Drosophila melanogaster: one gene and its partners. The protein of the gene in region 2 purifies or fractionates together with the protein of the main gene of each other region. This does not show direct contact. Each region holds a gene or a part of one and is shown on either strand. Other genes may lie near its edges.

The links.
Region 1: the proteins of hpo (region 2) and yki purify together in Drosophila melanogaster (affinity purification with western blotting; 2 studies listed by BioGRID, with this or other methods). This does not show direct contact.
Region 3: the proteins of hpo (region 2) and mts purify together in Drosophila melanogaster (affinity purification with western blotting; 3 studies listed by BioGRID, with this or other methods). This does not show direct contact.
Region 4: the proteins of hpo (region 2) and Fgop2 purify together in Drosophila melanogaster (affinity purification with western blotting; 2 studies listed by BioGRID, with this or other methods). This does not show direct contact.

Annotation. Positions count from the first base shown.
Region 1 is NT_033778.4:24,063,879-24,071,454, reverse strand, and holds yki (yorkie), read left to right. Parts: upstream 1-2,969; 5' UTR 2,970-3,139; coding exon 3,140-3,990; intron 3,991-4,200; coding exon 4,201-4,292; intron 4,293-4,738; coding exon 4,739-4,894; intron 4,895-5,141; coding exon 5,142-5,194; intron 5,195-5,277; coding exon 5,278-5,382; 3' UTR 5,383-5,480; downstream 5,481-7,576. Other genes in the region: Gpat4 (Glycerol-3-phosphate acyltransferase 4), read right to left, coding at 451-687, 1,213-1,455, 1,513-1,716, 2,121-2,255; Rap2l (Ras-associated protein 2-like), read right to left, coding at 6,115-6,272, 6,345-6,462, 6,584-6,721. UniProt on the Drosophila melanogaster protein: Transcriptional coactivator which is the critical downstream regulatory target in the Hippo/SWH (Sav/Wts/Hpo) signaling pathway that plays a pivotal role in organ size control and tumor suppression by restricting proliferation and promoting apoptosis.
Region 2 is NT_033778.4:19,492,441-19,500,020, forward strand, and holds hpo (hippo), read right to left. Parts: upstream 4,417-7,580; 5' UTR 4,309-4,416; coding exon 3,021-4,308; intron 2,964-3,020; coding exon 2,242-2,963; 3' UTR 1,556-2,241; downstream 1-1,555. Other genes in the region: Rep (Rab escort protein), read left to right, coding at 1-977, 1,035-1,435; CG15120 (uncharacterized protein), read left to right, coding at 5,362-5,626, 5,720-5,898, 7,179-7,350, 7,461-7,580. UniProt on the Drosophila melanogaster protein: Plays a key role in the Hippo/SWH (Sav/Wts/Hpo) signaling pathway, a signaling pathway that plays a pivotal role in organ size control and tumor suppression by restricting proliferation and promoting apoptosis.
Region 3 is NT_033779.5:7,824,139-7,834,590, reverse strand, and holds mts (microtubule star), read right to left. Parts: upstream 6,942-10,452; 5' UTR 6,540-6,941; coding exon 6,438-6,539; intron 4,130-6,437; coding exon 3,566-4,129; intron 3,123-3,565; coding exon 2,932-3,122; intron 2,858-2,931; coding exon 2,785-2,857; 3' UTR 1,015-2,784; downstream 1-1,014. Other genes in the region: Rack1 (receptor of activated protein kinase C 1), read left to right, coding at 7,422-7,530, 7,610-7,821, 8,255-8,890; CG7115 (uncharacterized protein), read right to left, coding at 9,708-10,011, 10,111-10,163, 10,240-10,452.
Region 4 is NT_033779.5:6,941,218-6,948,317, forward strand, and holds Fgop2 (fibroblast growth factor receptor 1 oncogene partner 2), read right to left. Parts: upstream 4,073-7,100; 5' UTR 3,917-4,072; intron 3,853-3,916; 5' UTR 3,780-3,852; coding exon 2,832-3,779; 3' UTR 1,961-2,831; downstream 1-1,960. Other genes in the region: ihog (interference hedgehog), read right to left, coding at 4,536-7,100.

The DNA of each region.
Region 1 (7,576 bases), 4.6 Mb from region 2:
ACTTTCTGCCCAAACTCGGAACAGTTCCGACTTATCAGGTAATATGAATAGTATGAAGTAATTCATGTCGGCAAGGCGGTTGAAACTTATCGATGCCTGTAGGTATGTTCATATGCGTCGGGTCTAAACTCCATGTACACAGAGATAATGGCTATCTGCCAAGGCGTACACATGGGAACTCTTTGATAAGTTTGGACGAATGGAAACCAATAAAGCCATTGGACAATTTATCGGCGGTTACCGGGCTGCTAGCCAAAGTCTGAAGCCCAAAAGTCGAGTTTCTCTTACTGGGATAAAATGATCGAACCGATATGTTAGAGCGTCAGGATTTAGTATGTTTAGGTACAAGTACGGGTTACAAAATGTGCGATTTCGGGTGTTACATGCATGCATTTTAACTTAAATGAAACCAGTTTGTGTGACGAATTTAAGATAAAATTTCTTTCTCACCAAAGAGTAGGTACAATCGGTCGATAATATAGCCACATCCAAGGGAGAGGTGTGGTTGGCTACACAGAACCCAGAGACTGTGGGCTTATATTGCTTATTGTGGAACTTGATAAAGGAGGACATAGAACTTGAAATAAGGCGGAACGTAATTTTGAATGACAAGCTCGCTAGAGAAAGCCGTACAAATCGAAAAGGTAAACAAGCCACAATGGAGCTTGATAAAACTGCAAATAAAACCTAGGAATTAAATAGTTTTTATTAGAGAAGTAAATTAAAAAACGCGCACAACACAAATAAATGGTGGTAAATTATGGGTAAATTAAAAAATTTTCAACGAAAACTTTGTTAATCACAAGTTCGCGGTACTGCGACGTATCTGTATTAACTTCCAGTAAACGTTAGTGCAAGCAATTTCGATAACAAACGCGCATTTGGGGGTCGGGTCGTCCGATACTCTACTAAACTTATTTCTCTAAAGAGATCAAAAGGTAGCTAGCTCTAAGCTGAAATGTAATCGATTGAGGAAAACGCTTTTTATCTACTAATGGGTAAAGTTTAACCAGTTATTGTCCGTTGAGTCACTTTCCTTTCACACTGTAAGATAACTACTCGACAGCCCAATCCCTATGCATGATGCTGTTCTCCAGTCTAAAGCGGAATACATTACTTAAGCGTATCCTTTGGGATAATTTGTAGCATGCATGGGAATCGGGACGATCGGGTAGTTGTGGAAAAGCCACTAAATGAACCGAATGTACTCACACCAACGAAGCATACCAATACCCGGAGGGGCATCAGGATGACGTAGCGGATGAAGAAGCCGAACACCCAGATGGAGGTGATTTTCCAGGAAATGAACTCGTAGTGCCTATTGGTGCGTGTCAGCATGTTCCAGCTCTTGAGCTCCTCCGCCTCGAAGCGCGACGTAACATCGTCCTCGATGATGGCCTCCACGCCAGACTTTACGTAGTCCAGGCATTTCTCAAAATCGAAATTGATTTCATCCTGCAAATGGGAAATGTTGTTTAAATCAGGTGCCCATTGCAATGCCGGACTCCTTACCTTTGTGGAGGAAACTGGCTTCTCTGGAGCGGGCTCCTGTGGCTGGGGCAGGAGTACCGCGTCCCTGGTAATCAATGTGGCTCCATTGGTGCCTTCTTTGGAATCGGCGTCGTCCACTAGTTGCACTCCCTGTTTGTCGTCAGTCTTGGGATTTTGAATGTGTTGGTTTTCTTTGGATGCTGTCTCTATACTAACTCGACCATACTGAAAGTAGAGGTGATTAGTTGTTAACGAGTCGAATCGGGGATTATCTGCAGATAAGATTATCGCAAGCATATCGTCGGACGAGGTAATGACTGGCACTTTACAAGTGTCTGGGAAGCGGCAACTTGGGTGCACTGGCGCACTCCTGCCCCGCAGATTCCTTGAGGATAGCCGAAGAATCTACTTAAAGCTTCCGGGCAAGCAATAGTTTCTCGAACTCGCCTGCATTGCAGTAATTGCGTAGGGCAGACGTAGTATGGCGTACTCCAAAAGCTGACTATATTTATGGACTTTGGAATAGCTTAACTATTGGTAAGACAGCACCATTTGCAAAGCCACCGCAGCAGTGGAGCACCTCAAATCGGTGCTTACTCATCTGAGGAACGAAAGCAAGCAATATTTACCTCGAATATCCTTAGGAGGAGGTTCACGTACGCTTTTCGGACGCCGATTGATTTGTTTATGGCGGAAATAAATATGAGAAATGAGAGGAAGCCCCCGATGGGGATCCAGAATATGTCCAACAGCACGGCGATCATTTTACATTTGTGTCATGCGACATTAGTTATTGTTAAGCGAAAAATGCCTCCGAATTGTGTCGTGCCAATATATACAATGTTAAAATACTTTTTGCTGTAGACCGAACTAGCGATGGACCTTGACTGTGTCAAAAACCTGTCTCGTGCTCACAGACCTGGCCCGCGCTCATCTCTACGGGGAACAAACGGAAAGGGGACGATTCCGGTCGGGCAGGAGACGGAACGGCTTCTTGTTCCACTGCCAATCGTTTTGAAAAGGGTTGAATGAACGTGCACTGAAAACAAAAAGGCACATTTACATTCAGATTATATTGTTATTGGGTATGTGTTTTTGACAGACCTTTACCTGCACTTATTACTTAAATCAACAAGGCACATTTACAATCAGTTTATATTGTTATTGGGTGTGTTTTTGACAGACCTTTGCCTGTACTTATTTTCACTAAACAAAATGTTATAAACCAATAAATAATAATTGTTAGTCTAATAATTTATAGTCTGATATTATGGAACACAAGTGTGTGGGCTATACACACACCATAATTTAATATCTACTTTGTTTTGTGCCTTATTAATTACAAAATATAGAATAAATCTTTAGCTATAGCTAAAGGAAATCGACAAAAGTCGTAATCGGCTTGCGGAATACCCCTGGCATTCCGCAGGTGCAGCCACGAAGCCGATTACATGAGGAACGCTAGTATCGGAATGGACAAGTGGACGGGGATAGCCATCTGGCAACACTGGGATAAATTTATTTTATGTTGGCAGTTCCGTAATTATTATTATTACTATTATTTATTGCAACGAAGTTTAGTTTTTAACACCTTAATGTTATAGTTTCGCGCAGCGCGATGGAGTGATACGTATATGGAAGAACATATATGTGCGCGTGCCTAATCGCTAAGATAATTCTATGTAGTTTTCGTTTGTATACAATAAGTGCCTTTTATATGTTAACGACGATGTCAGCCAGCAGCAATACAAACAGCCTGATCGAGAAGGAGATCGACGACGAGGACATGCTTTCGCCGATCAAGTCCAACAACCTGGTGGTGCGGGTCAACCAGGACACGGACGACAACCTGCAGGCGCTATTCGACAGCGTCCTGAATCCGGGTGACGCCAAGCGCCCGCTGCAGCTGCCCCTGCGCATGCGGAAGCTGCCCAACTCCTTCTTCACGCCCCCGGCGCCCTCGCACTCGCGGGCCAACAGCGCCGACTCCACCTACGACGCGGGCTCCCAGTCGAGCATCAACATCGGGAACAAGGCGTCCATCGTCCAGCAGCCAGATGGCCAGTCGCCCATCGCCGCCATCCCCCAGCTCCAGATTCAGCCGTCTCCCCAGCACAGCCGCCTGGCGATACATCACTCCCGAGCCCGCAGCAGCCCCGCCTCGCTGCAGCAGAACTACAATGTGCGCGCCCGGAGCGACGCAGCAGCAGCCAACAATCCGAATGCCAATCCGAGCAGCCAACAGCAGCCCGCTGGGCCCACTTTCCCAGAGAACAGTGCCCAAGAGTTCCCCAGCGGCGCCCCGGCCAGCTCGGCCATTGATCTGGACGCCATGAACACCTGCATGTCGCAGGACATTCCCATGTCCATGCAGACAGTGCACAAGAAGCAGCGCTCCTACGACGTCATCAGCCCCATTCAGTTGAACCGCCAACTAGGCGCCTTGCCGCCGGGATGGGAGCAAGCCAAGACCAATGATGGCCAGATCTACTACTTGAAGTGAGTTTGGGCAGATTTTAAAAATGATATGCATGAAGCTTTATTTAATACGTGTCTTCTTTATGAACTTATGAAAACTAAAATATTCTTGTGAGTCACAGAAATCTCATTGGCTTCGTTGGATGTCTTTCAAGTTTATCTCTTAATCATTACTAGCTCAACTAATACCCAAAACAGCAATCTCAACAATGGTGTTCTCTCTACTTGCAGTCATACTACAAAATCTACGCAGTGGGAGGATCCCAGAATCCAATATCGCCAGCAGCAGCAAATCTTGATGGCCGAGCGAATAAAGCAGAATGGTAGGTTCTATCTTAGATGTAATGCCTTAGATAAGCAAGTCGTTAACTGCCTGTGGCTGCGTCTCATTGTTAACCCACTTAAATCAGCCATCAGAGGACTAATTAATGCTAGAGACCAGGCAGGGATAAGATAGGCTCTAACTCATTCCAACTAACGCATGAACAGCACAGTACACAACCGATTTCAGGGAGTCCATTCCGTCCATTTTGAGCGCGCCAATGCACTTTTCGGGATTGGGTTGGAGTCTGATCATTTTGGCATTCGGAAGTGGGAGCTCGATTGGATTTGCTTTGAGCATACTCCAATTGATTTTGATATGTGCTGCATGCTGGGCGCCAGTGCCCCTCCGTTCTCATCCGCTTACACACTGCAGCATTACGTTGAAGACATATTTTAATTTGTTTTTATTTACTTTGGTTTGTAATTCATTGTTTTTGTTCGATAGATGTTTTGCAAACTACAAAACAAACTACCACATCGACCATTGCTAACAATTTGGGTCCACTGCCGGATGGTTGGGAGCAGGCAGTTACCGAGTCCGGAGATCTTTACTTTATAAATCACATTGATCGAACGACTTCATGGAATGATCCCAGAATGCGTAAGTCTCGTTCCACCACCCCGACTAGCGTAAGACAACGAGACACACAGATATCGTAGCGATATCGCTAGATAACATTGAGTGCGCAGTGGGCGGGGGGCCGATCACGTAATTCCCATGGCATCTCTGCTTTCACTATATAGTATAGTACTGATCTTGAGATAGAGGCCGAACACTCCACACTCCTTATCGCTCCATGCCTCGCCTTTACTAACTTAACGCCTTCCCTTACCGTGTATCTTTGCAGAATCTGGGCTTAGCGTGCTCGACTGCCCAGATAACTTAGTGTCTTCCCTCCAGGTAAGCATTCGCAGTTGCCGACCGCCGAGTTGGCGAACCGAGTTCCACGCCACTACCTCACTTTGCCCACTTTACGCTTTCAGATTGAGGATAATCTTTGCAGTAACTTGTTCAATGACGCACAGGCCATTGTAAATCCGCCGTCTTCCCACAAACCTGACGATTTGGAATGGTATAAAATTAATTAATTCAATGTATACATCTGTATTAGACCTAAAAGTTTTATATTTTGTATTATTCTAAATTAAATATTTTTCAAATTTTATAGTATTTCTTTACATAAACGAATTTGTGTGTTTATCATTATTACTGGGCGCCTTGTTTCTGGGTTTTAAAGCTTCCGACGATCAGTGAACGCACTGATTGAAAAGAAGATATCTGATTCAGATGACTTTCGAACGCCGAAGAGAGAGTTCAGGTGGATGAAAGGTGTGGTCAGCAGCGATGACTCATGCCGAAACCCGAATACCCCGACTATTGTAAAGTGCAAGCCAAGTAACCAAGTAACCAGAATGCGGCGTGCATTTGGACCAGAATGCACGCGATTCATGAGCTTCATTGAGTTCGATCTGTGACCGACCCAGCAGATTCAGCTTTACGTGGAGCCAAAGACATCCATGCTCATCGGTGTCATTCGCTTGCGAATCTGTTCGCGTTCGCTCTTTATCAATGCTTACCCATGAGTCACTTTTGCAAATATTCTTCTAATTTAGCATGAATTACTTATTTTCGTGATGTCAAGCTAGTCATCGTTTGAATTCTTTCAACAGCTTTCATAGATGATAAGAGTTGGACTTGGGTTTTTCACCACAGCTTTGTTTCAAGGAAATGAAAAATAAAAATTCGCCAAGTTTTCGTTATCTATTAAATATTAGTAATTTTATTTTTAACTATAATAATCTTACAATTTTACAAAATTTCTATAAAAGCGTACAACAACAGTAATTTTTTTTTTGCCGATTCTCTTGCGTCAAATTCATCTCTCGAACGATGGTGGCGAATACTTCGTTTACGTTTATCCGATCCTTTGCAGATGCCTCGATAAATGGACAGTCCCACAGTTGTGCCAAGGCATTACCTGTGAGGACGAGGAAAACAGTGGCGTAAATAAGAGCAGTCTCGTCTGGGGAGGGATATGGATGATGCCTACCTTCAGCGGTGGATACCTCTCTTTGGCAATCTAAATCGAATTTGTTCGCGACTAGTAGGATGGGTGCTGGCTGACTTCCTTTCACTCGAGTGATCACATTTTTCATACTAGAAATATCCTGTGGAGCAAAGCGAGACCATTAATTGGCATTAGTTGGAGTACTCAAGAGCAAGTTTGGGTTAAAAAGTACAAAGCAAACACGATGATGAACGCACAGGAGGGACTTGTGGCTTTCATACCTGAAATGTTTGATGGTTCGTAAGTGAATACATTACAATAAAACCATGACCATTTTTAATGTAGAGATCTCTCATGGATGCGAATTGCTCTGTGCCCGCGGTGTCCAATATTTCCAAGACGCACGGCGAGCTGTCCACCTGCAAAAGAGGGTAAATTGCATTAGTAAATTGTCTTGGGGCGTTGAACCCGCAGAAGCTGGCCCCATCTACGTACGTGGGCAAACGTACGTTCTACGACGTTCTCTTGGCTCGGTAGGGATTAATTGAAATAGTTATTTGCTCTTCAGACAAAGCTGCGGTATTAGGGGTTGTGCAAGTGCTGCCCACAAAATGGGGTGGTACACACGATGGCGGGCATGTGCGAATGCGGAAGAAACGCCTGCTCTTTGTCTTTCGACATCATTAGATATATTTTATTTGCCAAAGGCGGCACTTATGCGCCTGCAATGGGCTCGTTCCCGAGATCCAAGCAGTATCAGATATCCGATGGACTTGTAGCTGCGAGTGACTGCACTCGCATGTGTCACTCATTCGTTCTATGGCAAAAGGCTAACTCACGTCGCAGTAAATGTGAAGCATTTTGCTTTCAATTCGGCAGCACAATGCAGTTTTAATAGATAAACAGCATGGCGAGATACATACGGTTCCAGCTGATTGATTCACTCATCGAATCGGTTGCTTTGCAAGCCAAACTATGACAAACTATGAACTTTTGCGCAGGCTGCGATGCAAATGGCACTCTGCTCTGCGTAGAATGCACATTGTGGCTTGGGAACTAGTTTGGCTGGCTGCTCGAAACGAGAATTGCACTGCAAGGGAATGAAAATGCAGGTTTCGGAGTCGCTTAGCGTTATCAGTCCACTCCCTATTTAATAAACCCCCCGACTGCGGATGCGGACGCCTATGAATCATGTTTTCGGGCTGAAAACTGGCTTGGCCATTAATCCTTGCAGCAACACCCACGCCTATGCTCAAATATGCACATTTGGATGC
Region 2 (7,580 bases):
TGCTCTATGTGCCCGCTTGGACCAGGAAGTCGAGCCTCATTCTGCATTGCGAAACGCAAGGTACACCTGGCATTCCATGGAAAAAGAATCAGAAACAGATGCACAATCCTGGAATAGGGACTCAGTGCTGGCCAAGTCGCGACGCTTCAGCTTGGATCTATGCCCGCGCATTTTATACGCAGCCGGGGAGCTGGTGCAGTTGCTCATCAAGTCGAACATCTGCCGCTATGCTGAATTCCGAGCCGTGGACCATGTGTGCATGCGCCACAATGGTGAAATTGTGTCCGTGCCCTGCTCCCGTAGCGATGTCTTCAACACCAAAACACTGACCATCGTGGAAAAGCGCTTGCTGATGAAATTTCTCACCGCCTGCAACGATTACGGCGAGGACAAGTGCAACGAGGACTCGTTGGAATTCCGGGGACGAACGTTTCTGGAATATTTGCAGGCGCAGCGGGTGACCGAAAAGATATCGTCGTGCGTGATGCAGGCCATTGCCATGTGCGGCCCCAGCACCAGCTTCGAGGAGGGTATGCAGCGCACACAACGATTTCTGGGCAGTCTGGGCCGCTATGGCAACACACCCTTTCTCTTTCCCATGTATGGCTGCGGGGAATTGCCGCAGTGCTTCTGCCGTTTGTGCGCTGTTTATGGTGGCATTTACTGCCTAAAGCGAGCCGTTGACGACATTGCCTTAGATTCCAATTCGAATGAGTTCCTGCTGAGCAGCGCAGGGAAAACTTTGCGTGCCAAGAATGTGGTCTCTGCCCCTGGCTATACACCAGTTTCAAAGGGCATCGAGTTGAAGCCGCACATCTCACGTGGCTTGTTCATATCGTCCAGTCCCCTGGGCAATGAGGAGCTGAACAAGGGAGGTGGTGGTGTAAATCTTCTTCGACTACTTGACAATGAAGGTGGACGGGAAGCCTTCCTAATACAACTGTCGCACTACACGGGAGCCTGTCCCGAGGGTTTATGTAAGAAACTTAAGAAAATATGTGAATTATTCCTTTTTAATGAATTAATTTTTACAGATATCTTCCATCTGACCACGCCAGCGTTGAGCGAGGATCCAGCGTCTGATCTAGCCATTTTCACTAGCCAACTCTTCGATCAATCAGACGCACAAATAATATTTAGCTCATACTTCACAATTGCTGCCCAGTCTAGTAAAAGTCCCGCTGCCGAGCATATTTACTACACCGATCCACCTACCTACGAGCTGGATTATGACGCGGCCATTGCCAATGCTCGCGACATATTTGGCAAAATGTTCCCAGATGCCGACTTTTTGCCACGAGCCCCAGATCCAGAGGAGATTGTCGTGGATGGTGAAGACCCTAGTGCCTTGAACGAGCACACTTTGCCCGAAGATTTGCGGGCACAATTGCACGACATGCAGCAGGCAACTCAGGAAATGGATATACAAGAGTAGTCATACTAAAATAAAAAGGAGGTTTCCTTGGTCTACATATATCATTACTTATTACAAAATTTTCTTAAGTATCTTTCGAATAAGTTATATATTGTATGCAATTTTTTGATTCATATATTCCTATATATTTATTATGTAAATTATTTATAATTGCTAAAAGTACTAGGTATATATAAATGTTTAAATGTGAGTGTTTCTGTGCATTTTGCTTTGATAAATATATGTTCGAAAAATATGCATTCCAATGCGTATAAAAATGTTTCTCCTTTATAAGTATTGCTTGACGGGTTACTGTTTTTATCGCACGAAGACAGAAAATAAGTGTTTTAGAGATAAAGGTTAATAGTTACCAAGGAAGAACGAATATTATAAGTCTTATTAAATTATGATAAGGCCTGGGCAGTTCACAATACGGGCAGCTACAATAAACGCAAGATAAATTTTATTCGAGCATACCTATTTATATTAAAAGACAGATCAATGAAAGCTAGGATATAAGAAACCAAGCATAAATTTGATGAAATCTAACAGAAAATATGCTTTCGTGCTGGAAGATACTGCCGATGACTCCTCTTTTCTGTTTTCACTGCATTTTACAATAAAGCTTTTGTGTTTTCATTTCTTGTGATTGATTTTAGACCCTTCCACCAGGTTAAATTTGCACAATGCACGAATAATTTCTAGAGGATACAGATGATGGGTCTGTAAGATTCAGTATTCATCTGCAAACTTAACCCAATGTAGAGGCAATTGAGTGAGTTGAGATTTCATAATCAGTTGTCTTGCGAAATTGTGAGTTGCTTTACCTATATCTTAATCAGATTATTATTGATGTTCTGCTGGCGTTTGCGCTTTGCATTCATGGCGTCAACAATTGGCTGCCGCTTGGCATTGTATTTCTTGTTTAGCTGTTCGATCTCCAGCTCCATTTCGTGATCGATGTTGCACAGCCGCTGGTTCAGATCGTCGAAGGTAAGGAACTTGAGGAACTCAAACTCACCCTCAACATAGGCGTGCGATTGCGTATGCATATGCTGATTCTGATATGCGGGCGGCGGTTGAGCTGGAGCCGCTGCCGGTATTCCCTGCTGTCCCATTGGCGCAGCGTTGCTGAGCAGCAGATTCGGTTGATTGTTGAGCGCGATGAGTTGTTCGTTCATCAGGGGATAAGCCATCAGAACTTGCTGCTGCTGCTGGTGCTGCTGCAGACCATACTGATTAATGGCGGAGATCTGCTGGAACTGCATTTCCATGTTGTGCTCCCAGTTGTTCAAATCGTTGGCCCCGCTTGCCAGATGCTGTTCATCCTGCTGTTGTTGTTGCTGCTGCTGTTGTTGTTGTTGTTGCTGCTCCGCTGCTGCCGGAGAATACTCTGTGGCTATGGGTTTTTCATCGCCACGGCCATCTCCCGCATTTTTGCGATCGAAGTGCTCCAGGAACTGCGGCCTGTAGCGGTTTCGCGGCTTCTGGTCGTCGTTGTTTTTGGCCGTTGTGGAGTCGTCCGAATCGGAGTTGATTACCATAGTGCCTGAATAACAGACAATACAATAACAAATGGCCAGCCCTTTCAAAATCATTTACATACCCAAGTTCGACTCCAGCTCCACCATTGTGCCGCTGTCAACTGCCGGCATGTCCAGAGGAGATGCTGCCGAAGAGGCCGCTGCAGGAGCAGCTGCCTTGGACAGGTTCCTTAGTCCACCCGGCCCCAAAGTGCCCTCATCCACACCTTGCTCTGCATGCGCTATCATGGTGGCATCTGAGGCTGAGCTCTGTTGGTATTCACCGAACTTCTCCGGCACCAGAGTACCTGGATCCTCCATAAACGCGTTGTCCGTGATGTGTTGTTGCATTCCGTTTTCCTGGGTTGCCAAGCTCTTCGCCTGACTAGCAGCCAACACGCCCCCAAAACTGCGATTGGCGCGTTGCTGCTCGCGAATGGCACAGGTCTCCTCAAGCATAGGCTTTAGGATCGATCGGTGCTTGGCGTTGCGTATGAACTCGTGCTCCAGCAGTTCAGTGGCCGTTGCCCGGTCGTCTGGCTCCTTTACCAGGCACTTGCTCACGAAGTCAATGAACTCTGTGCTCCAGCGATCCGGTTCCCGGAACGATGGTGGTGGCTTCTGCGGAATCATAAAGATGGCTCGCATGGGATGGATCTCACCGTATGGGGGCTTTCCCTCGGCCATTTCCAAGGCGGTGATGCCCAATGACCATATGTCTGCCACACAGTCGTAGCCAATCTCCTCAATCACCTCGGGGGCCATCCAGAAGGGCGTTCCGATCACAGTGTTTCTCTTGGCCATTGTGTCCGTGAGCTGACCAGCGACTCCGAAATCGGCCAACTTAGCATAGCCTTCGGTATTGAGCAGGATGTTGGCCGCCTTGATGTCGCGATGGATCTTGCGACGCAGATGCAGATAGACCAAGCCCTGCAGAGTGTCCGACAGAATAGTGGCTATCTCGTCCTCCGTCAGCGTCTTTTTGCGCAGACGCATAATGTCGGAGACGCTGCCGGCGCCACAGTACTCCATGCAGATCCACAGGTCATACTGCTTGAAGTAGGAGCCGTAATAGCGCACCACATACGGCGAGTCGCATTGTTGCATAATGGATATCTCCTTAATAATCTCGTGCAGGTCGGACTCCACCGGCACCAGCTTGATGGCCACAATGGAGCTGCTTTCCTTGTGCACTGCCTTGTAGACTGATCCATAGCTGCCCTCGCCCAGCTTGTACATAATGTCGAAGACCTTTTCCGGCGGCTGCAGAAGCGACTCCTCCGACAGCTTCTTCAGCTTGAAGAAGGAGCAGGAGGAGGATATGTTGGGCGATTTCATATCTACAACGCTGGTCACCTCTGGCTCAGACATTGCGAAAAATTTTCTGATTTAGCACGAGAAAACACAGATAATTGGCTATTCACAGCGACATATCACACTTTTGTTCTTTATTCGCACTCGATCGCTAGCCAACACTAGTAGTTCTCAGTGCCCTCGGCACTTTGCAACACGCCACCCGCACAGAACAGGTGCGGCGTTGCCAGACAAACGCCGAACACCGCAGAATGTAAACAAAGCACCAGTGCTGCATAGCAGAATTAGCCATTTATCGATAAGTTCTCTTGGCGCGCTTTTTAAAACTTAATTTATTGGCTCAGAATTATAAGGTTAAAATTAAATTTACAACTCACGCATGCTTACCTCTTTTTTGAAATCTTTGCTTGATGATGGCATTTCTATGTTTTTCTCATGGCTATTGATTAGATTTATGACGATTTACTTTGTACTTTGATTAAAAAGATTTAGTAAATTCTGATTAACATATAATATTTATAATATTAAGTTGTTTAGGTAATTTGTTTCACTTTGAATACGTTTTAATATTTATTACTTCTGTATATAAAATTAAATTGCTTTTATGGATCGATTGTTGTTGTTCATCAAATAGAATAAAATGTTGGCATGATTGACATGAGCTGTGCCAATTTGTCGTTGTTAATCTGCGGTTGCGCCCCCAGAAAACCCAGATCCCCTTCATTCCGATGAGTTCGCTGACCTGAAATGCCCAATAAAAGTGCTTGGGAAATCTACATGCAGTCCGGGGACTTTGGTTAGTGCATAGTCGAATGATAATAACAACATAACTGGCGCCTATAAGGCTAACCGGCTTGTTATTGTAACAAATGCGACTGGAAGAGAGCACCGCAGCGAATGCGAGCAAGCGGCTTTAGCTCCAACTGCTGGCTTATCGGTCACTAAGCCGCCCCAGGCCTTAGCAACGTGCTCCATAGAAACGACACGACACCCAACAGCAACAGCAAAAGCAACGCCAACACCAGGAGTGCCAGCCTGGCTACAGAAATTCCTTCGCTCGGCAGTTCGCTGTTTACACTACGTGGCTGCACATCGTCGCATCAACCGGAAATGGCCATGGCCCAAACGGCACGCACCGCGACGGCAAGGCGTCCCACGCACGACTACCACAGGCCGACGCGCTCCAAGTCCGCCAATCCGGCGCAACTGCGTCCACTTAGCGGCATCCATGGAGCGGCGGTCTCGTCGCGTCCGCGCTACGTTCCACCCTTCTCCATTCAGTCGCAGCAAAAGAACACGGTCGTCATCGACGGACCCATCCACGAAACCGCCCCCAAGACAGCCAGTGCCAGGAGTCGGGTGCCCAATCCGAAAAGTGCGTTAGTTTGTTTATTTGGGTGTTTCGCCCATCGGTATTTGTTTCCCTAATGACATCCCTGCCCACATTTGCATTTGTACTGATTTTCAGTTCTGAGGCGCCAACAAAAGTCCATGTCCACCTTCAACTTGGGCATGGGTCTTAATGGCTGCTCCACCGGTGGGGCTAATGATCCGGGACGAGGAACCCTCTTCCGAATGTACTTTGACCGCGGCGACCTGCCCATAAAGATGGAGTACCTCTGCGGGGGCGACAAAATCGGATGGACGGTGAGTGGTGGGAATTATTTGGTAGGGCGCTAAATTCCATTAGGTTCGTTGTTAGTTGACTTATTAATTATACTATATATATGGTATTAAGTTATATTGTTCGAAATTTGGATAGGTCATACATTTAAACTTAATTCTTTTTAAGCCCTTACATTCGGGTAATGATTTATTTTTGTAACCATAGCTAGAATTTTCCATATGTCTGTTGGCAAACTTAAACTTCAACTATACAAATGTGAGTCAATGCAAATAAAAATCAAATGAAATTGCACGACTGTCACTAGAAAGGGGTAACCTTACCACTCGGTGACCCATAGACAAAGCCCATATTTGAATTTAGCTCGAGTTTCGTACACCTGCGTGTCCAATTATTTCAAGTGTTGCAGGTGAAAGCAAAAACCGAGTAAATAATATGCCATTGTCTATTTCCGGAGTTAGTAGAGCTCCACGGCTGACGGGCAAGCGATTCCGTCCGGAATGCGACTACTGACATTCAAAACGTCGCACCGTCCAACTGTCAGTCAATTTCCCATGGAACTCCGCTGCAATCGGAAAGTTATGTGTAACCAATTCCCACCCACCTCGCATGAGTGTGTGTGTGACCCCTTTGGCTGGTTCAATGTCACAGACCTTGGATGGCACTCCATATTCGATGTGGAGTCCACATATGCGGCGTATGTCATTTGGGTGGTGCGTTTGTTTATCTAGGCCGAAATGCCGTCGTGACAGGAGAGTGATATGTGAGTGACACTGCCTGATTTACGTCACGGGGTCGAAGGTCGATGTTGGGGAAACCCATATGTGAGGCTCACGCAGCTGCGATGCCAGCGATGTCGCCTTTGACTTAAATATAAAGTTGCTGTCTTCTTAAAATCAAAGTAAAATTCCTATTCTGAGTCATTCAGTCATATATGCAATACAATCTGGTTAAGATAGTGGGTTATATTATAACCCTTTGTTAGCTCAAATCAACTAAGCTAAGCTGGTAACTATACTCAAAGCAGACTCTCGAACAAAGATTAGTCTAGACTTAGCACTGCAAAGTCTATAGGCAGGTACAGGCCCATTTCTCGATGTGTTCTAAAAATTTTCCACTGACAACGTAAGCAAACAAAGAGCATCTTAATGGAAATCAGCTAGGGCGCCTAACCGGCATGGCGTGCAAATGTACACTTGCAAGACTTGCGCCACCGCCGGTACACGAACCAATTTCGAACTTGGAGCGGCTCTATTCACCTTTGACCCGCCAACGGTGTCACCTCTTCCCGTATCTCGCCTAGGTGGACATTGAAAAGCTGGACTACAGCCTCTATCTGCCGCTCTTCTTCGACGGACTGGCGGAGACGAAACATCCCTACAAGACCTATGCCCGCCAGGGGGTCACGGATCTCCTCTTGGCCGGGGGCGAGAAGATACACCCGGTGATACCGCAATTAATATTGCCGCTGAAGAGTGAGTACCAGGGCATTGGCTGGCACGCAAATGCCTCGAAGTTTTTCGGTCTAATTTGCACCTTGCCAATGCGAGCACAAAACCAAAACCAAATACGCCCCCATTTGCAGACGCATTGAGCACACGAAACCTGGAGGTAATGTGCACGACATTGAAGATAATCCAACAGCTGGTCATGTCCTCGGATTTGGTGGGACCCGCCCTGGTGCCCTTCTACCGCCAGTTGCTGC
Region 3 (10,452 bases), on a different chromosome or scaffold from region 2:
ACTAAGGACAAAATCGTAAAAACGGAGCAGTTCATTTAAATTTTTAATATTTAGGCTACCTTCAGTGGCAGCATACCCCACATTCCCCCCCATTCCATTCCGACCGTAACCTTAACCGTATCCATCATACCGATTCACTTACTTTTGTTTTATGATCCGAACATTTTCGACCATCATCTGTGAGCAAGAGTCAGAATACACTTAACAAATCTGCGGATTACTGCTGCTATAAAATCAGTGGATTTCTCGAAATCTTTGTACCTGATATAGTATGCAATGCTACCTTACTATTCAATTTAAATATTATATTTCCAATATTAAGTTATTATGATACCAAATATTTGCCAAGTGTTTTAAGGGGCCAACCCAAAACGAGTATCTTTCATCGTTTTGAATTTATGCCTTTAATTAAATACAAAATCTACCTAGGATTCATCTTGCTGGGCAACTTTTCTGTGGCATTCCTTTACTTAATAACAGGCCATCAAATAGAGTTGTATTTCTGTGGGTTATATTCATGCCGAGCATCCTCACCCGCCACGCCCCCTTGCGCCTCCTTGAACACGCACTCAGGATTTATTTCCACATTTATATGAGACTGCGGGGGGTGCGGTGCGGTGCGTTGGGTTACTGGAGAGGGTATGTAAATTTTTCAGTAAAAATTCACTTCGTGATAATGGATTTTCCATGTCGCATACGCCGCAGTCGTCGTCGACGTCGCTGCCTGCACGACAAATACAATCTGCTCCAGGGCCTCCAACTGAACCCCCCCCCCTCCACGCTCCCCTCTTTTACAACTGAAAATCCAGCCCCAACTCCATGGCCTCTCCACAGCAGCCAGGGCGACAATTACCTCCCCCCAGCATCCTGTGGAGCTCCTGTTCTGGTTTCGGGTTTGTTGGGGCATGATAGATGACAAGTCTCGGTAGGTGTACGTATGGGTATGGTTGTTTGCTCGCCAAGTTCTTGGGCACTTGAGAGTCCCCATCCTCGATCCAGCATGTTCTCAAATTTAGATTTTCATCCAGACCAAAACTCATGTGGATACAGTGCCAACTGGCGGTGCACGAACTGCTTATCTCAGAATAATCCATATATTCTAGGGTTTCTACTATTGCCAAATGTTTATTATTTATATATCGTTTACTTTCTTGCTCTTAATATACTTTTCATTCGTATGCTAAAGTTAAATAACCAACTAAATTATCAGGAACATCAAATCCAATCGAAATAGTTTCCAAAATACTTTGTAAACAGAAACAATAGAGAGCGACCACTGTACATGACTTTTGACAGTTCGTGTGGGCGGCTGCTAAAATATGCAAAAATTTATACAAAGTTGGCAAGATTTTTGCTTTCGCTTTCGCTGGGAATCAAAGGCAGCCCGGCTCTGATTTAGATTTTGACTTGGGCATCATTGGTTGGCTGGCACCACGACCTCCGTCCCTTCTATCTGCCCTCTGCCATCCATCCATATATCACCTCCCCCACACCCATATCGCCTCCTTTGTGGTCTCAATTAGGTGGCCCGTTTGAGGCTCGACTTCCGCTCGTCGTGGTGGCCTCGTGTTAACTTGGCCATGTTCGCATACACACTACCAAAGGAGCCCGCAGGCCAAAAGGGAGCGTCATTGCCAGAACGAAAAACCAAAATCGTTCGCATGGGTCTCTCTTAAAGGACTTTCTCCCTTGAACGCGCGCTCTTCGATGGCTCTCTTCGTCGGCAGGTGGGAATTGTTTGTTTGTTTTTTTTTTCTTTCTTTTATTATTATTAAAGTTACATATGAACTTAATTGATAATGAATTTTTTTTAATCATTTTTCTTTGCTTTTTTGTTTGTTTTTTAATAGTTTTATTCGCTTTTTTTTATTTAATTTTAATCAGTAATATTAAATTTGTTGTATTTCCTTATTTTCTTTTTTATAATTTTTGTTTTTATATAAATCGCTGGCCCGCCCCGCGCTTCCCCCATCGCAATGGCGTTCGCTGCTGCTCCTGCCACATACTGCTCCTACTTTTTTGCTGCTGCTTCATCGTTATCTTCCTGCTTTGTCGGTCGTGGGTCGTCTGCTTCTGCTTCTGCTGCTGCTACCGCTGCTGCTTGCTTATGCTGCTACGTCCTGGCGTTCGTCCTTTCGTCCCGTTTAGTCCTTTGTCAGCCCCTTCCGCCCACACACACATCACGTCATAATCCATGAGTCCATCCATCCATCACTCCTGCTCCCTGGCTTTCTGCTGCGACGCTTAGTTCGTTATTTTTATAAATTAACAAATTTAGCTAAGTAGTTGTAGTTCTTCTTGTTGCTTGCGGTTTTGTTGCTTGGTTTCTGGGTTGGTTGGTAGGTTCGATTGGATTGTATCATTTCTGTATACTGCTTCTCCTTCTGCTCCTCCCCTTTATCTTTGATATAAATTTTCTGCCTGCCGCCCCCGCTGGCGACATTTCCGGTTTTTTCCTTTTCTTTTAAACTGTGGCCAACAACAATAACTGTTCAATGCATTTTTGTGTTCTCGACTGTTATGGTTACTTTTTTTTTCTTTGTTTATACAATATCTCTTCCACTGCTCTCTGTTTAAAACGACCTCCACAAAACAAATGCATCGAGGTTTTTAGTTTTGGGTTGTTTTTTATGGTAGTTTTTTTTTCGACAGCACTTGCCATTTTGTTTATTTTGTTGCTGCTGGTTGGATTTGTATATATTATATATTGTTTCGGTTCTTCTTGTTGTTATAATGCGATGTAATATGTGTAAATGTAAGCTGCGTAGGTGCGAGCAATCCAGCTTAAAGGAAATAATCGGGTGTTCTTCGCGTAACATGAGGCTCCCCGCGCCTGGGTGCTGGATCAAATTGTAGGCTAAAATAAATGCAAACGATTAGATTAGTCAGACATGCCGCATTTAAAGGCAGCTCAAGCGAATTGCCACTCACAATGAAAATTTAAGTGAATCATCCAGTTCCATAAGAGCCGCTTGGTTGCCACAGCGGTAGCAATAGTTTGGCGCTGAGAATATTGTGACCACATTGCGATCGTGACACCAGTTGTAGCCCTCCATCACCAGCTGATGGGCGCGCGACACCAGTGTCAGGCCGTTTGTGTTGTTAAAGGTTTCCGAAATATCCTTCAAATAAAATGGAAATATTAGTAAAAATGCTTATAGAAGTAATTGGCTCTTTCTCAATGAAATTCGATTTGGATAGTTAAAATTTGTTTTGTAGTTGACGGTTTGAAATGTCAAAACAATTTATAACGAAAGCTCTTTCCATTGATTGCGTTATCAGTTGGGCCTATATCAGCAGTAGACTTCGATTACTGATTATTGATTTTCATCAAGTGCATGCCCCGATAAAATTTCCTATTAAGATCAATAAAAAATTTATCTAGAATATATTTGCATGCTTTTGAGCAGACAATTTTTGTTCAGCTTAGTTTTAATCGGGTCTTCAGATGTATTTCACTTAACAATTTTACAATGTGATTAAAGAATAAATTTCCAAGTATCCAAGCTAGGCAAATCAGCTCCGAATTTTATTGAGAAATAGCCAACATGCAGACAACACTCACCTGGCCAAAGGTGTAACCGGCGCCACGAGGCGAGATTCCCCAGCCACCCCTGTCATCGGGATCGGACCAGAGCAGATCGCACATGGGACCCTCGTGCGGAACCTCCTGCAAGCGATCGAGGGCCCGAATGTGATCCAGACTGTCGATCGAGGGACTGAGGCCTCCGTGCAGGCAGAAGATCTGCCCGTCGACGAGTGCCGTCAGTGGCAAGTAGTCGAACAGATCCGTGAAGTACTTCCAAACGTTGGCATTGCCATACTTGCGCAGGCACTCGTCGTAGAAGCCGTACACCTGTGTGATCTGGCGCGACTCGTGGTTACCGCGCAGGATGGTGATGCGCTCGCGATAGCGAACCTTCAGGGCCACCAGAAGGGTCACGGTCTCCACGGAGTAGTATCCACGGTCCACGTAGTCGCCCATGAACAGGTAGTTGGTGTCCGGAGACTTGCCGCCTATCCGGAAGAGCTCCATGAGGTCGTGAAACTGACCGTGGACATCTCCGCACACTGTCACCGGGCATTTTACCTCCTGCACATTGGACTCCTTGGAGAGAATCTCCTTGGCCTGTAAAGAAATGGAAACAGTAGACCAATCAGCAATTTATTTATGGATATTTTTAGGGAGATACGTTTTAATGTTACCTCCCTATTCGAATAACCGAATAAACAACTTTGAATACCAATATTAAAATACTGATTAACATAATCTAGCCCAAATCGTTTCCAGGGTCAGAAAAGATAAATAAAACGATTAGTACTTTGTACATTATTCACTATACTTAATGACTCAACGCCAACACTCAAAGTGTACTCTAAAAATAGCTTGTAACTAGAAGAGAAATTAAAACAAATATATTGGATAAGTGCATGCGTTTTTTTACAGAGAATCGAGGGAAATAAATATCACTTGTTCTCTTTAAACATCCCACAAGAAATTTTAATGGCATCAAAACTCAATCTCTTGGGTAATTCTGAAAATAGCTTCCCGCAAAACCCTATAAAACTGTGTACCTAAACATTGCTACTTCCTATAAGAAAAACATAAACATGTAGCAAAATTTCCGGAAATTACAAAACATTTTTGTTACGTTTGTGTGTAAATAGTTAACCAAATGAAAGTAATATGGAAACTTTGATGTTCTATTTTTTCACCTGCCATAATTCGGTGAATGGTGAATGACATGACAGAATATCTGCGAAACAGAAAGTACTGAGAAAACCGAAAGTGATCCGCATGTGCGGATGATAAAACCTTGTCAAAGGCCAAGGTTATCCGTCAAGATTTGGTCAACAAGCGAAGAACCTCAACTATTTTCTCATCGAATTTTGCGTCAGTTGCAAACAAGTTTAAGTTGCTAATATAAGCTGTATGAAAATCAAAACAAAGGAAGCAAAGCTTTTTAATAAGTTGAGATAAGATGAACGTACGATAAAAAGTTGTCCGTATAAACATAACAAATTCACGATTCTGGAAAGTATTCTATCGTCTTTAGTAAAATAAAATATGAAGGTCGATTCAAAAATTCCCGATGGGCGTCAATATACAGCATCAAAAAAACCGGTTTTTACAAACATAAATGTGCCAAAATGAGCAAACAAAAATTGCACATTTATTTTGACCATTCCGCCGTGTTCTTTGCGAATTCTTATATTTATCAGCTGACGAAATGGGACATGACAACAAGTTCCGGGGGTAGAATCCGGCGGCGCAAATGAGCGATTTGTGCGTGAGCCAATTAGATTTTTTGCCATATGCACAGCATTACCTTGGAGGCTGTTGCTTCCGCTTGGCCAGAAATCGAAAAAAAAAAAAAAAGAAAAATAATTTTTGAACTCATGACGAGGCCAGCGCACCCATACAGATGCATGCACAAACACTGATGCAGCTTGTGCTCTCTCCGCGTACTCTCCGCTTTTCTTTTCGTAGCAACGGGAAGGATGGAGAGAGGCCGCAGAAGACGCACCCGAGAAGAGCGAAGAACGTTCTTCTCGGAGGGAGAACGGAGATTCAAGATTCTAATGGGAACACTGACAAATATTTGGGTGACGCAAACATAACCCCACTTACTCCTAAATCAATGAATCGTTATCTGTTCACCCTCTCTTTTTCTCTCCCTCTCTTGCACTCTTTTTGCTTGTCTGTTTGTTTGTGTGCGCGACGCGCCTGATGAACGGTAAAATCGGCAAATTAAAAACAATTGATATCAAAAGTGTTTAATTGAACATGGTTGGTCATAAAAAAAGGAACACAAACACCAATGCAAGTGCATTATTCTAGAATTGAGATACGACGGTACATAGATACATATTCTAGGGGCGCGCACACACCGACGCACAAAAACATTAAGTAATATTTACTCAGCAACGACAAAACGCGCATGAGGTTGCACGGAGCGGGGGTGCTCAGTTTCCGGTGGACACAATAACAACAACATTAAACACGCACAATGCACTTTAGTTAAACAATCAAATTGTACAATAATACAAAAAGAAATATCTCTTTTTGCCCAGGTTTAGCCCATTAGACCAAAGCGCTGTTCTAGCTGTCGCATTCACGCACGCACTTGCCCGTCCCGTTGTCCCGCTCGCACTTGTGCGCGGCAATGCGGCGCTTGGCTGTTGGAATTTACCAATATTCCAATATGGCGACGCAAGCCGCCGCTACTGTGCGAGCAAGAGGGCACGACATGAATCATGCTCTCGCGCTCTCCGCTCAGCGCCTCTCCCCATTGGAAAGAGCGAGAGGGCCAGAGACACGCAGCGTTGGAGCACCATTTGCAAAAAAAAATCGCTCGCTCGCATGCAATGACGAAAATTATTTTTATAACATCTCCTAATTCGCATGGGGAAAATGGGCAAGGACCGGGCCTTACCTTGTCGCAGAGGGTGCGAACTTGTGTCTCTGTCAACTGATTGCATTCGTTCAACTGCTCAATCCATTGATCAAGATCTTTTGTTGTTGCTTTATCCTCCATCGCAGTTGTGGTGGAAGAAAAAGTCTCGTCAATCTTTGTCGATTCAATTTTGACGGCTTTTATTATAACTCAGGGGTGCAGGAAAATTAGCAACTACTGTTGCGTTCGATTGCCAACCGCGTATTCACTCGTTTATCTCCACACAATTGCCAATCGAATCAACTCGATTTGGGCGATTTTCTTCGTATTTTTTGTTCACAAAAGAGACGACGACACGATATACGAAGGGAAAGACTGCCCTCGGTGTGACCGATTGCCGCGAAACGCTTAAGAACGCGCTGTGTGTGTGTGTATCGATTAGCGATGCATGCTTGACATTTCTACAAAAATACCGACTAAAACTTGTGGATGGTATCCTTACTATTTGGCCAACAGTTACCAAGTAAAACTAGAAAATAAAGTGGGATCAACGCTCACCGTTTTTTTTACATTATTACGTGATAGTGACAAAATAAAAGTATGTACATAGGCATTTGGGCAACAAGATATTGGGATTGTTTTAAAATCCTTTAGTAGTCTTTTCATAGATGTGCATTAGCGTCGATTATTTCTTAAATAATAGCACAATTTGTTTTAAAACTAAACTTCAATATTTCTGGGGTTCTTTAGATATAATAATATTAATACTTGGTGTAAAAGTATTTATTTTTTTTATATATATTTTAAAGTTTTTGATATTATTATTTGACGTTACATTTTACACGTATTATTTGTAACAGAAAATTCAAACTATCGATAGTTTTGTCCTGTCCAACACTGAACGCTCGCTGACAGTTGGCATCTTAGCGAGCACTGGAACCGGAACTGCCTCTTTTTCTGCCAGCTTGCAGCGCCTTTGGACGTGTTTCCTTCGCGCTCCGTAGCAAATAATATAAACTCAAGATGTCCGAGACCCTGCAATTGCGCGGTACCCTCATTGGCCACAATGGATGGGTCACCCAGATCGCCACCAACCCCAAGGATCCCGACACCATAATTTCGGCCTCCCGTGGTAAGTAATCGCCATTGAAATTCTTCGGATTTATCTGGTAGCACGTGCGTATATTAATGGCCACCATCTCGATTCGCAGACAAGACCCTGATCGTGTGGAAGCTGACCCGCGACGAGGACACCAACTACGGCTACCCCCAGAAGCGTCTCTACGGACACTCGCACTTCATCAGCGACGTGGTGCTCTCCTCCGATGGCAACTACGCCCTGTCCGGATCCTGGGATCAGACCCTTCGCCTGTGGGATTTGGCCGCCGGCAAGACCACCCGTCGCTTCGAGGGACACACTAAGGTGGGATAAGATTCCAATTGCATTTAGTTCGTTTAGGGAACTGAGATTTTGAACCGATCTGTACCGGCAAAAGGCTAAATGTAAGGTTAGGAGTGAGGTTAGGCCCGCCTTTGCCGCGTACAAATCGAAAAAATATATATTGCGCCTATGCGAGGCAGAATTACTGGTTGACATCTGTACGACGTACGCTTCACCCTTCGCTCGAGTCTCGGCTATAAATTGCTTGAAGCTCCATCGTAAGTAGGCAAACAATCTCTGATACCCATTGATTCCTAATTAGTTGCAAGAAACCCATCTGGATTCCGTTCACTGACTAATTGAGTTGGGACTATGCCCATTCAGTTGGTCAGTGAAATATCCAGTAAATATATTATTTTTATGAAAACCATACCAATACCATTAGCTAATCGTCAAATGCTTGTTCGCTTTCTAGGACGTTTTGTCGGTTGCCTTCTCGGCCGATAACCGTCAGATCGTGTCCGGCTCTCGGGACAAGACCATCAAGCTGTGGAACACCCTGGCTGAGTGCAAGTTCACCATCCAGGAGGATGGCCACACCGACTGGGTGTCGTGCGTGCGCTTCTCGCCCAACCACTCCAACCCGATCATCGTGTCCTGCGGCTGGGATCGCACCGTCAAGGTCTGGAACTTGGCTAACTGCAAGTTGAAGAACAACCACCACGGCCACAACGGCTACCTGAACACGGTGACCGTCTCGCCCGATGGCTCCCTGTGCACCTCAGGTGGCAAGGACTCCAAGGCCCTGCTGTGGGACCTCAATGACGGCAAGAACCTGTACACTCTGGAGCACAACGACATCATCAACGCCCTGTGCTTCTCGCCCAACCGCTACTGGCTGTGCGTGGCCTACGGACCCTCGATCAAGATCTGGGATCTGGCATGCAAGAAGACCGTTGAGGAGCTGCGCCCCGAGGTCGTTTCGCCCACGTCGAAGGCCGATCAGCCCCAGTGCCTGTCCCTGGCCTGGTCCACCGACGGCCAGACTCTGTTCGCCGGCTACTCCGACAACACCATCCGCGTCTGGCAGGTGTCTGTTTCGGCTCACTAAGCTACTGACCTTTGTAACGGGCGTCAAATTTGTTTAGCTAAAACAAAAATAAAATTTAAGCGTCCTTAACTGAAATTTGTGTATCTTGTAGCGGCTGAATTAGTTTTAACTTTAGGCTTTGGGCTATAGAGTTTTCTCCGGATAGATGGGAATAGTATAAACAGTGGGACAATTTAGTTTAGGCAGAAGATAAGTAAATGTTAATAAAGAAAACATTTTATATAAACTTTAATCGAAAGTGGATGTTTTTAATCCCTAAACTACAAACCAGATCATTTCATTGAAATCCAAAACGAATAATGTTGAGAAAAACAATTAGAAATTGAATTTAAGTAGCAAAACGAAATGTTCTCGTTTCGTATGCATTGTTTTATTCGTAAAAACATTTCGACATTTAGAAAATGTTTTCTTTTACACGTATAACAAATAAATTAAATAAATAGTTACGTGATGATGTTACCCTGACTGAGTCAGTGACTGTGATGATTTTCGTGTGCGAATTGGAAAAACGGAGTGCACGGCAATGTGGCGGCGGATGCAAACATATTTTGTTTAAACAAAACAACATTGACTAACAAACAACCTTAATATTAAGACAAATGATGAACGCATTTTCGAGTGATGAATGTGTATGCATGTCTGTAATGGGATGAATGAACGCTGCCTTTGGACAAGTAACAAAAAGGTCAAAAGGTATTTAGCAAAATGCCTAACTAGAAAAATTCGGGCACTTTCGTTTGTTTTTCTTGGGGAGAAGGAAATTTTTAGGAGAAAAGCTGAAGAGCATTTCTTAGCAGGCACTCTTATCTATCGTTTTTCATTTGGTTTTGATTGAATTCGAGCGTTGCACAACTGCAGGCGCAACTGGTTGAGATTTGGCTGGGACTTTTAGGGATTCTTCTCCCGCTTTTCCCGCTGAGCTGCCAATCTTGTAGACATCGTTCTTGAAGACGATCACCAGCACGGTGATGTTGTCCACGGAGCCACGTTTATACGACTCCATGGCAAGTGATTTGGCGCCAAAGTCCGGCTCTTTCAGATGCTCCAACGCAAAAGTGCAGGCCTCCTCATTGCTGAACGTGTCCCACAGCCCATCGGATGCCAGTATCAGAAAATGGGGTCTATAAGAAAGTATTTCATTAAATACAGGTCTAATGTAATGCACTTTACAACTATCAAATGGTCGTTTGGATTGTTGTTGCAAAGTGTTGTTCACTCACTTGTGATCGTTTAGTTCGAAGGTCAAAATGTCCGGCGTAGCAATCACCAGATTCTGTAAGCGTGTGGTTAAAAATAGTGTCAAGATTAGCCTCGTTAGTAACTCGTTGGAACCATCCCATTTTTCCCACCTTATCTTTAAGCGGATAGTCCCCTAGAGCACGTGACGTGGCCAACACCCCGGCCACACGCCAAACGCCTCGGAAGGCGATGAATCCGCCTGCATCGTGGATTCTCTTTCGTTCTCGCACTTGCTGCGGCTTGTGATCGAATGAAAGCGGTATGGCGATTCCACGCCAGTCGTACATGACTCCGCGGGAGTCGCCCACATTGGCCACAATCAG
Region 4 (7,100 bases), on a different chromosome or scaffold from region 2:
CGTTATCATTCACTTGGCCATTGGTTCTAAATTGAATAGCTGCCTGGTTTGATGGCTATTGTCAACGTGAGTTGGAAGTGCAGATGTAGATCAATGCCTTCGATTAATTAACTATCCCTCATTGGAAGACAGATATATTAACTCTGAGAAACAAAAAATGAAACTGATTTAAAAATTAACTTACTAAAAAAAGGAAATCAGCAAGTCGATTTAACATACATATGTATGTATATCTTGGAATTTATTCTATTTTTAAAAAGAGGTGATAATATGCATTCTTATATTCGCATTGATACACATATACAAATATTAACTTTAACTATAATTATAAAAATGTTTAAAATCTGGATTTAAATGTAACCATTGCTAAGAATACTTAAAAAATGATAAGTAACTTACTAGTTACTAGTACTATGATTGAAGAAAAAACTCCTAACAACAAAAGCTTCACATCCTTAAACTTTGACTTTTCTAATTCAATTTCAAATCATCCTTCATATCTGTCACTTCAGTCAGGCATAAACAATCGAATGGAAATGGTAAATATAAACAATAACAAATATGTATCCATCTATTTGAGTATTTTTAGAGCGATCTATGAGTAGAAAGAGAGCGAGATAAGCTGGCACAGGTGGAAGCTAGTTGCGCAGGCGATTTTCCGCCGCTTGCGCATGTTTTTTGTTCTTTTGGCGAAAATGGCGAAACTCAAACGAAAGAGCGCGATGCGAAGAGAAAGGCGAAGAGAAAGCGCGGAGCTTTCACCACTCCTTTCTCTGTGCGCTCTGCTGCTGCGATGATTGCAAATCCCTAGTGCGTTTATAAATAATTACCAGCGTTTTAACCTATTTTCATCTAAGGCGCTCTGTTTTTCGTCGGCGCTGGCACTTGCAAAATGTGTGACTTAATTTAGAACGCAGTGGACTTACACGAAATACTTCCGCATTTAGAATAATTTGCGGCTGGACGACGGGGAATGGGGCCAGCCTCTTGGATGTGGAAGTGGATGTGGATGTTGATGGTTGCGTAACCGTCGGGATTCAGTGCGTTTCGACACGGATTATACAGCAGTTTGGAGCATTGGTGTACATATGTAGATTCTTACAGGGATTGGAATCCCCAAAGCCTTTCGTTCACTTTCGATCACACACACACAAACACTCGGTTGCTGCTTGGTTGATTTAATTTTGGAATATTCACTTTATACAAAACATTTACGGCCACAGAAATTGGCTGTGTTTTATAAATAGCATAGTTTTCTTCTTGCTAAATGGCAGCGCACTTCCCATAAATCTACCCAGACGATTTTCAAATGCAAGACTCTCCGGAAATATCGTTAGATTTGGATCAATAGCTTATTATTAGAGGGATATATCTTTATATCAACCATGCGATCCAGGCAGTTTTCAATTTTTCACCCGATTCACATTCATGTACAAAGGCCAAGCACGTATGTGCCTATATATTTATATAGCTTTAATATAACCGTCGATTGCCCGAGCACTCGAAATACTTATATAGATGGCTGCCATGCGAACCGGGCGCAGTTCCTTGGCACTTTTTTTTCGGCTGCGAACGCGTTGAAAATCGACGAGAAACTAAATTTAAATTATTTCTGAAAGCTTCAACTACCTACCAGTCGTGCGAGAAAAGTGTTTTCCTCAAGAGAACCGATATTTTGGCGCAGAGAATCGATGAGAGCGATTCGAAAATTATTCAAAAATATTCAAGTCCAAGCCAATTGAAAGTTTCAGCCATAAATCTTTACGGGTATCCATATAATATTACTTTTACACTTCAGGTTCCATATTTATCAAAATTACAAAAATGTATTTGATAGAATTAAAGAAAAAAAACACTGTAACTAATAATAATAATAATTACTTCAATAATATCTATTCAAAAAATTGGTTTTCCTAATTTTCCATATTGATTAATAACCAAATTAAACTTAAACAATACAATAATGAAATTATTTAAAATTTTTTAAACCCCAATATTTTGCCTTTGGAATCTTAAGCTTCTAAAATTATAGTTATTACTGCTGTTTTTTTTTCTCATGGCAGATTCTGTTCAACTTGGTTCATTGTGTAATAAGTTGACTTTTTGAAAATTAACATGACTATATCATAAATCTTCTGCTCGATAACCATTGATAACCATTGTGGCAAATGTTAATTTTAGTGGCTATACTTTATTCATATTTAAACTCCACACAAGTATGTGTGTATATCAAGTTCTGATCAGCCTTACTCGATAAGCAATGAGTCATATCCAATGAATTATTTAACCGCTTCTCTGTTTGGCTGGGATTTAGAATGGCCAAATTTAAAAAGCCTTCTAACAAAAATATTCAAATTCATGGGAGGGGCGCATAATAGATGGGATTCTACTCGTAACATCTTTTGGGAAATAACTTAAGAATTAGTTAGCTTACGGAGTAGCAATCTAAAGCAAAGTTACATCTTATTTAAATACACTACTGAAATACATTTGTATGTTAAATTAAATATGCTCATTCCTTTGGTTATTCCCCGATTTGTATTGGAATTTATTTAGCAAACCATAAAATCGACAGGGTACATTGTACATTACATTTGTGTGGGTGTGAGTGTGTTTACCTCGTTTTAAATAATAAACTTCATTGTTCTCAATGCGTATGGACAATATGTTGAAATTCGTATTATGTATAAATTACTTAGAGATTATCAATCGCTAAGAGCTAATGCAGGTTATGTGGGCCCTCTTCGTGCGCGGCCTGTTTTGTGAGTGGGTGAGTAAATACGATTCAAATGAAGACCAAACGAATCAACAACGTTGCACAGCAGCACCTATCATGTTGCGGGCGCTACTGTCGCCTGATCCTCGACAGATTCGTTAGACGTCGTCGCTGGCGGCGGTGCACTGGTTGTGTTGACTGCAGGTCCGTTATTGTTATCATTCGCCAGCGGCTCTTCCCCCGGCGGCGCCGTCTCCAATGTCACACTTGGTGCTTGTGTTTCACTTTGACTATGCACTGGTGCAGTGTTAAATGAGTTCGTGGTGCCGGCGACTTTAGCCGGTTGCTCCGGACTGCTGTACATCTGGATAACCGAGTTGTTGTTCATGTTTTCCACCGAGGCGCCCGATATGGACAGATCGTCGGCGGAGTCGTCCGCCGTACTGTCCGTTTGCACAGCCTTCTCCTCCAGCAGGTGGTCGCTCTCACGAATCGGTCGCTGCGAGGAGCCGTACTGCTTGGAGATTTGCAGCAGCTCGCGCAGCGTTTCGTTCTCCAGACGCAGCTGGGATATGGTCTGCAGCTCTCGCTGCACGACACCGTCATCTACACTTGCAGCTAGCTGCATCACTGCTGCCATTTCGTTGATCTTCTCGCGCTGCTCCCGGATCACCTGCCACATGCGTTCGTTGTACAGCTCCTTAAAGCTAAACTTGCTATCCAGGACCTTGGAGACGGTGTGCTCGCGATACTTTTGCATCATCAGCTCCATGGCACGCTCGTAGTCCTCAATGAAGATCTTTAGCTCGCGATTCTCTTTGAGTATCTCCGAGCTGTTGATGTTTTGCTGCTGAATGCGATTCACCATGTCCGCGTTGGTCTTGTTGTTCGAAATGCGGTTGAGTGATTCAATGTCGTCCTGATACTGGCGAAGGCTCTCCACCAGCCGATTGTTGTTCTCCGCCTCCTCGAGCAGCGCCGTGCCCAGGGCGTCCAGGTCCTTCACCCGACTGGCCATGCGCTGCGCATCCATTATAATCTGGCCCACGGATAGGTTCGACATCCTGCCCAATTCAGTCCAGTTGCGATTTTTGGATTTGTATTGTTTTCGGGGGCCAGGCCCTCTGCTGCTGGCACTGCGAAAACAAAGGGAACCGCTTAAATTTGTGCACTTTCTGGGGCCTACGAGCAGTGTCTTACGTTCGGTGCGGGTAAGGTGCAGCTTCGTCCCTAGCGTAACAGCTTCATTTGATTTTCCGGCCAAAATATGTAGGAATAGAAACGATTTTAATAGAAATTTTGACGACGACCCAATTATTGGCTGACAGCTTATTAAATCCCAAACGCCATCGGATGTTGCACAAATCCCTAACGCCACTCATTGAATGCGAAAAAATACTGTTTCAACACTTGATATACCGCAAATATACCAAAGATTTAAATTATAATTTTGTTTTTTAACTTTTAGCTTGAGATGTCATTTTTTTGGCTAAATCCTTTATGTTTATGTTAAAAAACTCTTTTAAGGTTAAAAGGTGAAGCTACAAGCTTTATTGTCATTTTTGTATAGGTCATTAAGAAGCTATCAGTACAGATTTTGATCTTATCGCGAAAAATGGAAGACTTAGCGTAGAATGGACATAATGCTATGTTCTTAAACGATCATGCATACATAAATCTAGTTATGTCTATTTAAGTACCTATTTAAGTACAAACAGCAAAGGTTTTGTCATTCAAAGTGGTAGATAAAACAGAGGTAGAGGAATAGCATGGTACATCGGGCGTAGGGATGCACAGACTAAAGATCACGAGATTGCGATTACACGCCAACGCTGTTGAGGCTGCCGGAGGAGAGGTTCTCGGAGCGACTGGACAGACGGGGGCGTTTCATGAGTACACGACCCGGCTTGCCGGGATTTTCGATGGAACCCGCCTCTGCGGATTGATTTAGATTGTTGTTGTTGCCGTTGTTGGAGCCATTGCTGCCGCCAGCACGTTCCAGCGTGCGTTGTGAGCGACGCAGCGAGGAGGAGGACATCCTGCGCAGCGTGGGATCGTAGTCATAGCTCGACGGCCGCTGATAATAGGGCGCATCCTGGTCTGTGTCATTCTTCTCCTCCAGCGCCTGCTGCTGCTGCTGGGCGAGTGGATTCAAGGTTATGTGGATGTGTCGTGTTCGCTGGCGCTGCTTGGTGGGCGAGCAGTTGCCCAGCGGCACAAAGTCATCTCTCAGCTCCGCCATCCGTGGCTTGTTTGGATTGTTTCCCCGGCTTCTGGAATTCCTACGCCGGCAAACACAGAAACAGGTGCTAATCAGAAGCAGAATGAGCACTGCCCCGCCGCCGATTGTTCCCGTCAGCATGGGACTCATATTGAATGTCTCGTTATGACTGGGAGTTGTTGTATCGCGGTCGCCCATTTGCAGTGTTGGCTCCTCTGTGGTGCTGGTTTTGGGACGTTGGGTGCGCCCCTGCTTAAGGGCACTAAATTCGGATGCAGAGGCGGCACTGAAGGACTGCAACTTGAACTCGTACATGGTGGCCGTCTCGAGGGGTGCTATTTTAAAGCTTCTAGCATGGGCTCCTTCAATGGTTGCCTTGAAATATTCCCCTGCCGAGGACGAGGGTCGATAGTAGGCGTAGTAGCCAGTGATCAGGTGTTCATCCGCATCGCTGGCTAGACTCCAGTGCAGCACCACAGCGGTTTCAGAGTATTCCTCGATCTCCAGAAGCTCTGGCACCGGCATCGGATCAAGTGCTGCACCTGGCTGCAGGTAAAATTTCGCCGAGGTATTACTTTCCTTATTGTCATTGTTGGAGTAAACGGCTAGGATGCGGAAACGATAGGTGTGCTGAGGCTTCAGGTCCGTCACCGAAGCCGTGAAGCTCTTGCCCAGCTCGGAGTTCCACTTCGGTTTTCCATACGGTATATTATCGTTGGTTGTCTGCCAGTTCTTGCGCTTGCCAACCATGCGGTACTGAACCTTAAAAATGACAATTGGTAACCCATCGTTTCGGGGCACCATCCAGCGCAACATTACGGATTCATCGCTAAGTCGGGTTACATTTGGAGGAGTCGGTGGATACATCTGCTTCTGCCTGGAACCCTGATTGGGCTTGGGCCTGTGTGTACCCCCCGATTCCCGGGGTTCCTGAATCTGCTTGGGATTCACCTGCAGCAGTGTACCCGCACTGTGCTCACCAAGTCTGTTTCGTGCAAAGCATTGGACATAGCCCGCATGACGCTTCAAGACGCTGTGCAATATCAGGAAATTATTGGAGAGCTCAGCCTCAGAATCATCGATGCTGCTGTGACCGTTCAGCAGCCAGTAGATCTCTGGCGTTGGCACTCCTGTGGCCTTACACTCCAACTTCAAACGATCGCCCTCGTTGGTAAGATCGGCCCAGGGTGGTCGCACAATCTGAGGCGGCTGCTCGACATGCACTTTTATGTAGTGTTCTAACGCAGGCCGCACTCCATTATCTTGAAAGCAAATATAGGTGCCAGCATCATTAACTCGGGTGTTGGATATCTCCAAAGCGTGTCCAAATACTTTCGAACGCTTGTTCTTAACAGCTCCCACGACATCGGGACTGCTCCAGACAACCGTCGGTGGCGGTGAGCCAACTCCAGGACACAGCAGCAACAGCGAACTCCCTTCGCGTATGGTAATTTCTTGGGAGCTCGGCTGTCCCCTGAGCAAGTGTGGAGATTTACTCTCCGACCTCTGCTCTGGTGTAACCTGTAGTTGCAGCGAGCCGGGCAGCTGAATTCTCTCGCCAGAGGCAGGATTGGTTGCCTGGCAGGAATAGCTGCCTGACGACTCGGAGGATACATTGCTTAGAAAAAGATTTCCATTGGTTCCGATGAACTCCGGTTTGATTTCCACTCCGTTTCGATAGTAGGACCAACTGGCAGATGGATTCGATTGCACCTGTTGTCCGCAGGACCAGAGCACAGAGTTTCCAGCAGACACCCGCCATTGGAGGGGTGATTCCGATTCCTGAGCGTCCACCAGGCTAGTGCTGGCCAGCTCCAATCGAGCAATGGTAGACGTGACCACCAGCGGACCGAACCAGCCAACGCATCGGTACTCGCCTAGAGTGTCTGGTCGGACGAGCACCCTCAGTCGCGAGATGGCCGCCTCCTGGGAGACATTCGCTTTGGCCGTGCCTGTCTTAAGGTACTTGAACCCCGCTCCCGGAGATCTGCTGGACCGGTGGCTCCATTCGAAGCGCTCTGGCTGCAAACTGGTCTCGCACTCCAGCACCACCTCGTCTCCCAGGGGCGCCACCAAAGATTCGGGTGCGCGAAGAATTCGCACGCCAGGCGATGGATGCGCGGGATGTGCGGGATGTGCGGGATGTGCGGGATGTGCAGAGTG